Linked DNA regions of Styela clava. Each later gene encodes a partner of the first gene's protein in a complex. Links are inferred from orthologs where the notes say so. Each region holds a gene or a part of one and is shown on either strand. Other genes may lie near its edges.

The links.
Region 2: the proteins of protein fuzzy homolog (region 1) and ciliogenesis and planar polarity effector 2-like are in contact, whole or in part, in a cryo-EM structure (PDB 7Q3E), measured with the Mus musculus proteins. The link is inferred for Styela clava from reciprocal best matches to the Homo sapiens genes FUZ and CPLANE2. Residues at the interface, in NP_081652.2 of Mus musculus: Arg26, Arg35, Ile109, Val110, Lys126, Glu127, Arg129, Ala130, Tyr132, Cys133, Asp136, Gln215, Ala216, Ala217, Arg218, Asp219, Tyr220, Pro221, Tyr223, Pro232, Leu238, Thr239, Leu240, Leu241, Arg242, Pro255, Leu256, Gly257, Gln258, Pro261; in NP_001074643.1 of Mus musculus: Glu36, Gly38, Leu39, Leu40, Glu41, Arg42, Val83, His84, His85, Glu86, Thr88, Gly89, Ile90, Gln91, Thr92, Thr93, Val94, Lys124, Phe125, Met128, Glu134.

Annotation. Positions count from the first base shown.
Region 1 is NC_135257.1:20,600,576-20,607,673, forward strand, and holds the start of protein fuzzy homolog, read left to right. Parts: upstream 1-4,079; 5' UTR 4,080-4,459; coding exon 4,460-4,526; intron 4,527-5,012; coding exon 5,013-5,141; intron 5,142-6,094; coding exon 6,095-6,259; intron 6,260-7,098. UniProt on the Homo sapiens protein: Probable planar cell polarity effector involved in cilium biogenesis. May regulate protein and membrane transport to the cilium.
Region 2 is NC_135251.1:18,566,774-18,574,418, forward strand, and holds the start of ciliogenesis and planar polarity effector 2-like, read left to right. Parts: upstream 1-4,625; 5' UTR 4,626-5,355; coding exon 5,356-5,444; intron 5,445-5,988; coding exon 5,989-6,042; intron 6,043-6,437; coding exon 6,438-6,556; intron 6,557-6,805; coding exon 6,806-6,930; intron 6,931-7,562; coding exon 7,563-7,645. Other genes in the region: serine/threonine-protein kinase DCLK1-like, read right to left, coding at 2,441-4,399. UniProt on the Homo sapiens protein: Required for efficient primary cilia initiation, regulating a late step in cilia initiation. Plays a role in the final maturation of the mother centriole and ciliary vesicle that allows extension of the ciliary axoneme.

The DNA of each region.
Region 1 (7,098 bases):
TTTTTACGTCGTCCAGCTAAATGGTTCGTTGCATATGGAGAAAACGCATTGCTCGCTGCCAAAATCCCTTGCTTCAGCCGAGTCGGGTGCGAAATTGGCCGTATTGAGGTCTTTAATTCTTCAATACATATTTGGTTTTGGGTTTCGAAGTATGGTACGCTGAGAGCATACAACTATGAGCATATGCTTATTGGGAATGCATATCTATTAGACAGAAAACGTATCTACAGAACAGAATATGAACCAGTCGCCGAGAGGAGTGCGGTTATTTATGTATTTATTAATTGATATAACATGGGATTTACATATTTATGCAAGGGGAGAAGAAAGCCGAAAAGAAGGCCTAAATATATGGCCAACCACGGCCTCTCTCAATCATAGCTCTGTGCTCCATATGAATCACATGGCTCTGCGAGCTATTCGTTTACTTATTAAAAATACTGATTTTAACTATAAATTACTCTGGGATATCTTGCCATTGAAAACAAAAGCCAGAAATTGGAAGAATAGCAGGGAATGAAATGTGTGTATTATGTAATGGAGAACCTGAGTTTGTTTCACATATTTTCATGTATTGTAAATTTACAAAAAAATTAAATGTTTATGATATGTATTTTATATTTACTAATTTTATTTTTATTGTTTTATATCAATGCATTTATTAAAATAACCTAATTATGGTATGGATTACTACTGGAATTGAACAAAATAAATACTGGATCATGGATGCAAAATGGAATATGAACCCATTTATATTATATAAATTATTTTATATTTACCGTAATTAAAATCACTCATTGAGTGAACGAATGAGCATACTGTAATGCTTATTGGGAATACATACCATCTATTAGGCAGAAAACTTATCTACAGAACAGAATATGAACCAGCCAAGTGGGGACCTGGGATATTGTATTCATTGATATAGATAGAGATAGTTTATTTTGAAAAGTCCACAATCTGACAATACAAACAAATAAAAAATGGAGAGTTCTGGAGAGCGAGCAAAACCTTTAAAAAAGTTTAAAACACGATGAGTATCATGTGCCCGCTGTGTTATAGCAAGTAGTAATGTGTAATGAATTTAATTCACTGTGGTAAATGAATTGCTATCTTTTTATTTGTTATGAGCACACTTGCTGGAACTCCATAATCTATTATTTTATTTTTTAGTAACACTTTTTATAAAAATATCAAATTGTTTATCATACTTGCATCCATATTTCGCCCTAAATTCCATTCTATGACACTTTCTCTGTATCCAAATATCTATGTACATGACCACATTATTTATTTTTAGTAATACTTCATTTAAAAGTATCATAATGTTTATTATACTTGCTATTCTAGTATTTTATCAGTTTTTTGCCTTAAATTTCATTCTATGATACTTGCTCTGTATCCAAATATCTATATGTATATGAGCACTTTATTTATTTTTTAGTACCGGTAATACTTATTTAAAAATATCCTATTGGGTATCATTGCTATTTCAGTATATTATCAATATTTCGCCTTAAAATTCATTCTATGTTACGTGCTCTGTAGCCGAATATAGATATGTACATGAGCACTTTATTTCATATATATATATATCTGCTGGACAAGGGTCAAACCCTGATCATGTATTATTGTGTGTTACTATCCTCCAAATCACTTGTCAGTCATAATCAAGTATTATAATTTAATGTGTTCAAATTATAGTGTATAAAGAAATCTACTCATGATTTCGTTACTATTATCAAATGTTTATAATTAAAGTGCTATAATAATACAATTTTCGCCATCTTTGCTTATAAAAAATCCATGTCCTATTACATTCATTTTTAGTAGACAAATTTTCCAAATAATAGGTATCCTCGCTAACCCATTTTTATGCAGTTGATATGCAATACATGTCAACTTATCAGCTGAATAAATGATTATCTTAGGACAAAACATGATTATTTAGTACTTTCCAAATCAAAAATTCTTGTGAATAATGTATATATATAGCGAATACGGTATATGAGAGGTATTGAAGAATTAACATCGAACCTGTTAAATGACCCGAAATGTTGTAACGTTGTCTCCCAGTCAAACACCTGAGCATCTTTTTTTTTATTATAATTTATATGTGTTCATGGTTTGACGAACGAAATAAACTCTCTCTCTCTATTGGTTTAAAATACTGACTTCTGGACTTGGCTAATTTTATACATATCAAAACTTGTAAATATTTGCATATCAAAACTTGTCATTTATTTCGTTCCATCCATGTATTTTCCACATGTTTTTCCAATAAAACATACCTACGCCTTACTACTGTTATTTGTAGCTTATTTTTGAGGTGGGGCGCAAGATTTCACAAATTCTAAAAAGGGGGTGCGGCTTGAAAAGTTTGTATGTAGTAGACCCTAACCTGGTACACATGGTTCCCGTGTCTACCAACTGGGTTTACATACTTCAAGAGTACCTTTTTGTATTACAGTTGTGAAACAGAAAAAGCTGAATGTCGGTCTTATTCCATCTGTAAATTTACCAAAAACTCCACAAAGAATGAACAATGTGTATTATCGACGAAATGAAAAGTGACATATAAAAAATACAGAAGCTGTAGAAAATATTTTGCATTACAGAAAAATTAGTTCACATATTAAATATTTTTTACATTACAAAAAAAATGGTGCTCCAGAAGTATGTGTACCAATATGAAGGTAACTAATTTTGTTCGCCTTCTTTATATCAAGTTGTGTAAATGAACTAAAGTCTATCGGTAGGGGAATATTCACTTGTGTAACACAGACAATTCCCGAACTTTTAATAGAACAAAAATAAGGAGAATCGTAACCTAACCTGGTACACATACTACGAAAGTACCGAAAAAACAGCCCACATAGTAAAAGCAGTTATGCAAATACTTTACATTACAGAAAAATTAATTCACATAGTAAATAGCAGACGAAGGAAATATTTTGGATTGCAGAAGAAAATAGCTCACATAGTTAATAGCAGTCATGAAATATCTCTCACTATTGATTACAAAAGTATAATTGCATCCAAATCAACAGTATCTATACGACTATATAAAGGATCGTTAAAATTAAATAATATGCAAGAATCATATTGATAACAAAATGTATTCTAATCAATTTTAATATATCTAAAACAAAATCTTCATAAATATTTTTTGTAAATTTACAATACATGAAATTTGTGAAACAAACTCAGGTTCTCCATTACATAATACACACATTTCATTCCCTGCTTTTCTTCCAATTTCTGGCTTTTGTTTTCAATGGCAAGATATCCCAGAGTAATTTATAGTTAAAATCAGTATTTTTAATAAGTGAACGAATAGCTCGCACAGCCATGTGATTCATATGGAGGACAGAGCTATGATTGACAGAGGCCGTGGTTCGCCATATATTTAGACCTTTTTTTCGGCTTTCCTCTCCCCTTGGATAAATATGTAAATCCCATGTTATATCAATTAATAAATACATAAATAACCGCACTCCTCTCGGCGACTGGTTCATATTCTGTTCTGTAGATACGTTTTCTGTCTAATAGATATGCATTCCCAATAAGCATATGCTCATAGTTGTATGCTTCCAGCGTACCATACTTCGAAACCCAAAATCAAATATGTATTGAAGAATTAAAGACCTCAAGTCAAGTTAATACGGCCAAATTCGCACCCGACTCGGCTGAAGCAAGGGATGTTGGCAGCGAGCAACGCGTTTTCTTAATATGCAACGAACCATTTAGCTGGACGACGTAAAAATGCAGGGAAAAATGCCATAATGAGCAAATCTTTGCAAGTTTCCACTCATTGTATATATGCTCATTGGGTGGGGTAAATGTAGTTTTTATTCAGCAACTAAGAAAGTTCTTTGCGACACACATCTTACTACCAAAATGCTATGAAAAATTTCTGTCAAGTGTCCCACTGTACCCCATTTCAGCATTTGTGGGGCACATTCGGACAGATTCTTGGGCACAATGGGTCCGTCTGTCAAAATTCAACGAAGTATGCCTTTAAAAATAAGCAATTAATCAGCATAATCGCCTAAAGACCGCACGAACCGTGTCGTTAGATTATCCGGATATCGGTTACCCAGTTTCCAGCTGCTTTTCACAACTAACGGCCCAGTTAGGGAAAACCAAAGTGAATATAACCAGTTCTTTTGTGGAATAGTCACTTCTGTACAATTACTGTAACCAAAATTGGAAATACACATAAATACTATTAATTCACTTTCATCTGGACAAAATTTTTATAAATAATTGAATTTCATATTGGCACTGGAATTCTATTTGGCAAAAAAAAAAAAAAACTTCGGGGAAAAACACCAAAGAGCTTCGGATTTTGAAAATCTTAGCCGTCCCGAACGGTGTCTTTTTCATAACTTAACAATTACCTGGTTGTATCTGTAAACTACTGACAGTCTCAGACTGAGTCTGTTAAATATATATCATGGCTGAGCATATCATATGTGTGACTGCAACTGGAGGACTACCACTCTTCACAAGATCAAAGCAAGGTGAGATCCCTTTTTTCAATCCCCGATAGGCTAGCTAAGCAATACCGGTACCCTATGGTAAAGCACGGTACCGTACCGGTACAAGTACAAAAGTACCCAGATTAAAAGATCTGTGGTTTCTTGTATATCAAGTCGGGTGTAACTAAGATATCCATATCAAGACAGACAAATATATGCTGTCAGGTTGTAAATTTTACCAATATGCCAATTGTACAAGAGGCAGTGGTTCGCCATGCGGTATGCTGATATGGTTTTTGCTCTTCCACAGGATAAATTGATCATACTCTAATACAGTAATATAAAACTAACTCTGACGGCCGTGTTGCTCACCCAGTCGATACTGATAAATTTTGTGTATGTCAGTATGTTGTAAAGTTTTATTGTTAAAATGCTTGTTTCACCGGTTTAGGAAACAATAAATCCTACTATCTCCTTAAACCAAATTTCATTCATCAGTAACTATAATATCGAATTTATATTCTCTAGGTTCTCCACCATTATCATTTCCTGTGATGGCATCCCTGAATGGGGTTCACCTATTCGCCCAAAATCGTGATGTTACTCTTGTTAGTACGTTGACCACAGATCATAAGATTGTATGGAAAATGTATCAAGGTATGAAAATTAAGGGTTTGAGCAAATATCAAAAAGTAAGTTTATTTCGACCCTATAAATACTTCTCTAAGGCCAAAGTCTACAGTACGGCACAGTTCTGCGATTCAAAGCATATCCCCCACATTGAAAGATATCAATAATAACAGTTTATGCTAACCCCTCTTTTACGAGACAGTATGGCCCTCGTTTCAGCATAAACCGACAAACCGGATTTGCGCAATAAACTAAAAAGAAGCGCAATCTAAAAATAGTCATCATCAACGTAATCTAGAATATTATCAAGACAAACATAACACAATCTGACACATCTTTTGTTGTATCAGACGCCCTCAATTCAGAAAATAATACAGTGCTTGTTTTATTAAGCCAAATGTCGGAACATCTTGGAATTAGAGAACTGTGCCTTACTGGTCCAAGTGCAGCATGTTTTCGCTGGGCCATACAGACGTTCAGAATCTAAATTCTTATTGCCTGGAAACGAAATTTTGTACAGAAACTCATAAAACATCAATTTACTTCTTAAGCATTCTTAAAATTGATAATTTAAATCAATCACGAATCGATTCGGACATCCCTGTTATGACATTCATAGGATAGGATATTTATCCTGAAGGAGTAAAATAAATAAGACAGCTTAATAATTTGGTGAATCACAACCTCTCATCCAGTTACCAGTCCATGGTGGGTATGGGATTAGTTAGCTATTTATTTCTTTGAAATGCATGGACTTTATGGAAGAAGAAGCCGTAACTGACTAGCAGTTATATTGACCCCCTTAAATTGCGACAGGTCCAGCAATTCCCCCGCACACAATTATCCTTCACAGGGTTCAAACCTTGGAACTTATGCAGTGTGATCAACTGTGCGATAGTTAAGCGTGGTCCTAATAATGGGTTTAGTGTGCCAACTGCTGGGCCAAAATTGTATTTCAGAATTGCATTTTTATTTTTCAGATAGCATAGTTCTCATAGCATTGGTGCCAAATCAGAAGTCGAAGAAAGATACAGATAGAATAGACAAGAAGAAGGAATCGTCCGAAATAAGAGAGGCTACAATTTCTGATGCTCATTTACTGAGGATCTTAGATAACGTGTTCCATTCACTGGTTTTGCTAACAGGTAAAATTATTTGGTAGCAGTATGTGGCCCTTTTGTTTTAAATGAACCACCGGATTTTTGTTCCAAGATAATTTGATGGAAGTTGGGTGACATTGCCTTTATTCTTCATGTTTACAAAATTCAAATTCATGCATAAAATACAAATAAAAGATCACAAAACTGAGGACTACTTGAAAGCAGCAATTTTTTTTGTGTAAGCGTTCGTGAGTTTTCCCTGATAACTTGGTGCTGCAAGAACAAAAAGTTTGGGAACCGCTGGCCTAGTTGATAAATCTCTAAATTTAATCCGATGCCCGCTTGCACACCCAGGGCAATGCCACTGGCTGCTTGTATGGTCTTGTTTAGAGCAAAAGTCACTCATAAGCAGTGTTCCCTCTAAGGTGTGCGCGTGTGCGCGCGCACACAGCTTTCAGGGGCTGCGCACACGCATAGATTTACTGCGCACAGACGTATTTCGATGTAATGTAACAATGTTCTCGGTTGGCAGGTTGAGAAAGTTTGTTGTTGGCCCACCCATTACCCGGTTAGAACGCCAAAATTTCTCCATTGGTTTTTGCACAAATATTAGTCATTTCCAAAAAAGTGCGCACACACCAAAATTTCTGCGCACACATACTACGAAAAATTAGAGGGAACATTGCTCATAAGCGTTTTATAAAAATGTAAATCTCATACACTCACCAAGTAGCGAGGGAAACACATGTTTGTCCAAAATTATAGACTATACTAAAATGCCAGGTTTTATTGAAACTACTAAGATTTAGAGGGATGCATTATGCGTCATCAGGTTCTTCATATATCTGAGCACTATTGTCAGTTTTCCGATGTCTTATGCGTCA
Region 2 (7,645 bases), on another chromosome or scaffold:
TAGAGATGGGTTTCCATGATAAGAATGTGGTATATCGTGAACGTAGATGAAAAAATAATATGTAGAAACTTCGACCTCGTCTAATATTCGGCATTATTGATATTTTCGTCGCCAACCGATCGTTAGTTATCGTTTAGCCCGCTGTGGGATTGCAACGATTTGCTATGATGATATCTACTTTTAATAAATTCAGAGCGAAGTTCAATACTGTCAGCGTCCAATCCACTGGGGAGTTCGGCTTTTGTCCCTCGTCGGTGAGGATTCATCGAAAAATGTCTGATTCATCGCGTTAATACCAGCAAGAACTGTAATTTGAGATTTCCACAAATGTTTAGCACGCTACGGTATGTTAGGCACCGAATATGTTCGCTAGTGTTTTCTACCGGTATATTCTGGGCCTGGTATGGTTTCATGATCCGTTGTAAGGACATTAAGTAATAAATTATTCATTCTACTTGCACGGTCGTCTTGGCAGTATGACGGAGCATCGACGAGATGACAGAAGCCAGTCTGCGAAACATGCTATTAAGCATCTGTTAAGAACCCTAATGCACACAGGCTTTTTTAAATGAGATTACTTTTTTTACCACTCGAATTGTTGCCAGCATATTGTCGAAAATCCAACAACTTCCCCGAGAAATAAAATAGGTATATGGAAAGAAACTTTTTTACAAACGCCTTGGTAGAAAGACGCATATAGTTGAGATATACAAATGCAAGATTTAAAATCGGAACCAAGTACTATGATACAGTGAATAATAACGCTGCTATAAAATCAACTAGCAGATAAAATTGCCAGAGGTAAAAATTGAACTTTGTGAGTGATGAATGTCAGATTACGCTCTTTATACCGCGGAACTGTGACAATTCATCGCCTATCCAATACCGCACACCAATGTCAGTCTGAATGGAACGCAGCCCCGCGTCTCATCTTTAGGTGATATATATTTATACGATTCCTCGTAGGTTAGGGGGCGCATTTGGATAATGGTTGTTAATAACAACCCAGGTCCATTAAAGTCTCATCTATAAAAAAAAAATTTTCCTAAAAAACTTGACTTATACCTCGACTTACCATATATCTGGAGCAAAAAAAGGGACGGTGCGGATTGGACAAGCCGCAGGTCTACCGCGGAAAAACATGCTAAAACCCGGACTATCCCGGGACGTATGGTAAGCCTACTTGTACCCCATCTTAGAATCTCTCTCTCAATCCCAAGAATCTCCCTCTCAATCCCAAGAACAGCCAAGTTTCAACAAAAACAATCAGTACATATATTTGGAAATTTTCCACAACATGCAAAAAACACTGGTTGATTGTATTATTTTCGACATTTTTCAAGAATATAGCTCATGTTAAACTTTGTATAAATTGATGAATCTCATTATCACCAGCCCTTAGTGGAATAAATTTTATACATTGATAACAACGATTTAGAAGTTGAGAATGTAAAATTCAACAACTTTTGTTACCTAGAGCAAAAAATGTGATATTCGAGAAAATCAAAATTAATTGAGAGATCGACCAGGCATTAAGCCAACTTGAATATTCCTGCTGGTGGTATAAATACATACAAAAACAGTGATAGACTATGAAATGTACAAGATGATGGCATATGCTATGTAAAAAATATAACACTGGTTTCTGATAAATAATAATAAAGAAAGAAGCTAATGAATAATTCATATCTTTTTAATGTGTGCAATCGCAGTCAGAGCACATCTGGCATAAATAAATTTGATGGAAGGAAATAGTTATACTACCAAACAATGAGTTGACAGTTAAAGAAAAAAATACCAGACAAACAAAATGCTATATTGGGGTACCAATGAGAATTTCATTAGCGATTTTTTTTCAAATCACATGCTTATTGAAAAGTATACTAGAAATTTGAAGTATACACGAAAATTTGAATTTTAACCAGACTGCTCAAAAAGGTTAAATTTAACGGAAAGAAAATTTGCCAAATAAAATATTTTTATACCATATTTCACCAGTTATATAAACAAATAATAAAAAAAATACCCGTGCAGATAATATATTTCAGTGCAGACAAATGGAACATATTTTGGACACAATATTACAAAATTTTACAATGATTCCACCGATACAGAACAACAAAATTCAGACCAAAATGTTCTCTCAAATTCCTAATTTAAGATATGATTGAGCACAAAGTAGCAGCTTGGTATTTGCATTCACGATTTATAAAACAAAAGCTATTTTGTAATGATTGTTATAGGAAATGAAAGAAAAACTGTGCAATCGGATGTTGGAAGCAGTTATATAAAAAAGTTTTTCAGTGTGTTGAAAAAGTGCTCCATGTTAATATACAAAGTGGAAAATCCCAAAGCCTGCAACATACTGTACTTGTAACAGATTTCCTGTGTGTTTGATGGAACCAGAAACTAAATTTAAAAATGGCATACTGTACAGTGCTTACATTCTTTTTTTACTACCACGCTGATGAGTTCCTGATGCTGGACGCTGAAAATGAGATAATATGGTATGAGATACTAACATCTTCATGTCATGGTCAGAGGCTTCATCTCCAGATACCCATGGATGTTCCAAAACTTGAGATGCTGTTAATCTTATTTTGACATCATGTTGTAACATTTTGTTGATGAGGTCTTGTGCAGACTTTGAAACAAAATCCCAGTGAGGAGAAGGGAATTCATAATGTCCACATAGAATCGAATCAAATAGTTCTTCCTGCAGGTTTTTAACAGACTGAAAGGGAGGAAATCCACATAAAAGAATGTAAGTTATGACACCAGCAGCCCAAACATCAACTTGAACACCATATCCCTGCTGTAACACAATTTCGGGAGCGACATATGTTGGTGTTCCACAAACTGTGTATAACGGTCCATCTACCGTTGTCGCAAGACCAAAATCTCCTAGTTTCAATGCCTTACTGCTGTCTGAGTATTCGAAAAGCAAAAGATTTTCTGGTTTCACATCTCGATGAACTATATTGAGGTTGTGAAGATAAGCTAATGCACTACATAAATTATAAATCATGCCACTTGCATCTCGTTCCGTGTAACAAGAACCTGATGTAATCGCATCAAAAAGGTCGCCACCTTCCGCTAGCTCCATTACCAAAAAAATTTCAGTTTCTGTAACAAAATCTTGCAATACTCTGACAATATTTGGATGCTCAATTTTCTTCAAGATGGAAACTTCATTCTCGATTTTGTGGCCCGGTTCCGTACCTTTTGTTTTATCTATGATCTTCATGGCATATCTTATACCACTGGTGCGGTGAATGCATTCCTTCACTGTTGCAAAATTTCCATCACCCAGCATTGATCTAACTTTATATTGTCGAACAAGGTCTCGAGGCCAAGCTATGATGGGATCTTCATCCTTTTCAGCATCCGCTAGAGATCTTGTCAAGTCATTAGTGGGGTTTAAAGTCACATTTCCTTCTCGCTGATCTTGACTCTGCCGCATCCTTGATTTGGGTTTCTGAGGAGGTTGCGTTCTTGCGCTGGATTTCACCCGAAAACTTCTTCTGGGAGCTTGTGGTGTTGAGATAGGTTTCGTGAAGCCTTGTTCGGAATTATTGATTTCAAAATCATCATGAGTTAACTTTTCATATCCACAAGCAATAAAAACTTCATCATCTTCAAAAAAATCACTCAACTGGGTGACTTCCTTACCATGAAGTGTATAAATTTTTCTGACAGCACCTGTGTCAAGCTTTATAGCCGAGGTTATTTCATTCGCGACCTGTTCAAGGCTATGGGCTGTCTTTTTATTGAGCAGTATTCTGATAGCTTTTCTTGGTTTCACACCATTTCTTATAACTGTAATCAATTTTGGTCGAATAAAATCACGATTTAATCTGAAGGAGGATCTTCGCTCCTCTGACAATCGATTGTGATCATTGAAAGATTGTCTACCATCAGGTAATCTTGACATTGATCTAGACTTCAATTCGGAGTTTTGCGACCAGTTCGGACAAGCATTCCGCAGATAATCTAGTCTTTTGCAGGTTTCAGATGAAGAGCAGACATAGCTTTGTCCATTCACTAGCTCATCTAAACTGGTAATTCTTCGCCAATCGCCAATAGTAAAAATGGAGCGGACACCAAATGGAAGATTAACATTATCTTTGAGTGCACGAGTTAAATCAGTTAAAAGGGCATCAAAAGAACGGAATCGTGAACTTGAAATAGCATATGTGATACCTTGATGAAAACGGTCACCACTGCGATAAAATTGTACTCGCTTTGCTTTCTTTTCTTGTGATAAGTGTTGGAGGGTTCTTGTGCGATAAAAACTTGAATGAGCACTGTGAGCAGGACTACGTGTCCCTCTCATCAATCGAGACTTCTCAGATGCAAAATGTTCTGCAATAGAGCGCTGCATGACGCCATTCACCATGCTATTTGTCCTTCAAATGAAGTTAAAGAATACAACCAAAACACATAGCATACAAATAAGCTAAAAGATAATTTCAGAAGTTATAATTCTTTTTTAGTAGTCTGACCAAAACAGATTCGCAATTTAAATAGACTAGATTTCACAAAATTTCTCATGCTGTACCGACGGTAAAGACTATTGAGGTTTCCTGTATATAGACTAGATCTGTAGATCACCATTGGGACAAGTCTGCGAGTACTACAGTACTAGCCTATCATCAGCACGCAAAACAATCTGACAATGTAAAAACTACAGAATCATATTTTCCTCTCCTATTTCTAGACTACCCCTTTTGCCTCAAGATCAATTTCCTAAAAATTTTGAGACATCGTTTTGTCACAAAATTGAATTGATTACTTGAAGAGCCGCATCTTATGACAGAATTACCGCATTCAATGATTCATACCATCATACAGTCATGTCATACCGGTAGTCCTCTACTTGTGTACTGCCAAACGCAGTCAATGACGCTGTTACTTTTCAAATAAACACTTGAAAATGAAATCATCAATCTGTAAATACTCATCACATTCAACATTTCATTAGAACTAAGCCCAGTCTGACAATCCTGCCCAAACAACGCCCAGCGACACATAACAACAAACAAAATCACAAGTCGACGAGAGAGAACTTTCGCTCGCGACGAACAAAACCAAATGGTACGACAGACTGCACCGTCGATCCGAGAAGAAATTTCAAACGAAGAGAAAAAAGAATTAAGTTACGATTCACAAGGATAAAATCTATTACTATGCTCTGATCATCCATAGCCCAAATTTATTTCATTTGGTCGCTGTTTTACTCGATTCGATAGTAATTACTTTGTTCCAGTGCATCTTGGTGTGAAATAACAGATGTGCCTTCGCGTTGATATTTGACACTTCATTGAGAAGACAAATTCAAACTGTGTGGTCATTATGGTAAACGAATCTTTACGAGATATTATTGATGTGGAATGGCATCGAACTGAATTCGCAAATGAATTTTTCAAGTCCCTTTTACACAGGTACGAATACTGTTTTAAATTGGAATGAATTTGTTGGATTGAATAGCCAAATATATAGTTCGGCTTGGGGGAAATTTAGAAGTATTAAGATTGACAATTTAAGTGTATTAATAGACAGATCAGCAGCAGAAATGCAGTTATACTTGTTGGGGTACATGTCGCACATCTGTGTCTTAGGCCAGAAAGGTCTTGAACATGTATCCCGTCTCTTTTATACCGTTTAGCTTTTATGCAGATACTGTTACATTTTTGAGGGAAATAAACATATATCTGTATATACAGCTAGACTACTTCATTGTAATTTACTGGGTACATCTCTCCCTCATGCCAGCATACCTTACAGATAGATGTAATTCTAAGGCTTCCTGCAGGGTCCACAACATAAGAATATCGTTTGTTCTCTACTACCTCATTCTTCTCAAATTCTATTTTAGCAAAATCTGCTTATTATTTGAACAGGGTTTTGTGATTGTGTTATTGTTTCTGGTCTATGGCTTCAACTAACATATATTTGCCTGTGAATATGTTCTGTGTAATTTTTTAGGGGCCAACGCAGGCAGTTTGGACTTCTTGAAAGGCCTTCACTGCCACCTAGCAAGTGAGTGCATAATTATTATAGAAATATATGGAACAATCACTACAGACTGGCAAACCCTGCTCTTTAGACACAATTAATTTTTTCGTCATTATGCTGATATTATAATGAATTCTGTGATATATTTGCGTGCAAAATACTAAGGATTTATGGAACAATAGCCCAAGACGAGTATGAATCAAGAGGAACCTTCGTTTCTGATGAAATCTAACTAAGAACATAGCTAATTTTATTTCACTTGTCTCTTTCTCTTGTTTTCCATTCAATATATGTTAATATGTATAAATACTCCTTTCATGTTATATTTTGTAGTATTCAATTGAACCTATCTGGCATCTGCAGATTTTGTTTTATCAAATCTATTTTGATATTTAATCTTGTGTTTCAATAACTTTCAGAGAAACTACTATTGTCGAATACAAGATATTCCTTTGTGGAAGATCAGGGGTTGGGAAGACTGCAACAGTGGCAAAGTTAGCAGGCAACAAAATACCAAATGTTTTCAGTGAAACTGCAGGTATGCATGTTTATTTATCCAATATAACAACATCTCTATAATTGATAAACTTTAAAATAGAGTAACTATATAAAGCATATATGTGATCAATTTTGTACCAACATTGATTTATTTAGTATAGAGTCTTATACGTATTCCTTTTATGTCACATTGGTTTTCTAGAAATTGTTGAATGATCAATGAATATTCATGCAAAGCCATGGCCTAATTTAAAACATATTCTTCGACATGTTTTATTTTTAATCTTAGGTATCGAAACAACTTCTATTTATTGGCCAGTGCAAGTGAAAGCGACAAATAAAGTTGTCTTCTTTCGTCTTAATATATGGGATGTTGGAGATAATGCAATAAGAAAGTTTGAACACATTTTACCAGTTAGTAACAAACGTTTATTAAATACTTGAAACTAAACTAATTTTTCTCAAATAATTTAGAGATTTAATGTTAAATAAAATACTATAAATCCTTTACATTGTTTTTCAACTTGACGACTTTGACACATTTAGCCTTGTGTTTCATTCCGTTGTTTCCTGTGAATGATCTATGAATTCACAAATAAGCCCTGAGTAATAGCAATATTTTTTGATATGTTTTTGCAAAACTTGATAGAACAAATTTATAAACGAGAATATCGGTCGGAGACCGAAGACCAATCGATCGAAAGTTAGGGGATTCCCCAAAACAGAAACTGCGGTTTCGATTCATCCGCTCCTACTCCATGGCGACAGCGTGTGTCCCATCACTAATGAAATAATAACTCGCTAATTATATGGCATAATTCATCCAAAATCAATAAGCTTCTGGTCCGAGATATGATAAATGCACATGCAAAATTAGGAGCAGATTCAACCTTGCTTTCGTGAGATATCGTGTGTATCTAACAGACAAACAGACTTACCGATCTTAAAATCGATAAGTATTTATGGAAGTTGAATCTTTACTCTCAATGCTGTGTAGGTTTCATTTTCTATGTTTAATGAGTAGAAACTCTCAATTTTTATTTCAGGCATGCCAGTCAAATGCTGATTGCTATATTTACACATTTTCGTTTATCGATAGATCAAGCTTTGAAGATATTCCTCAATTAAT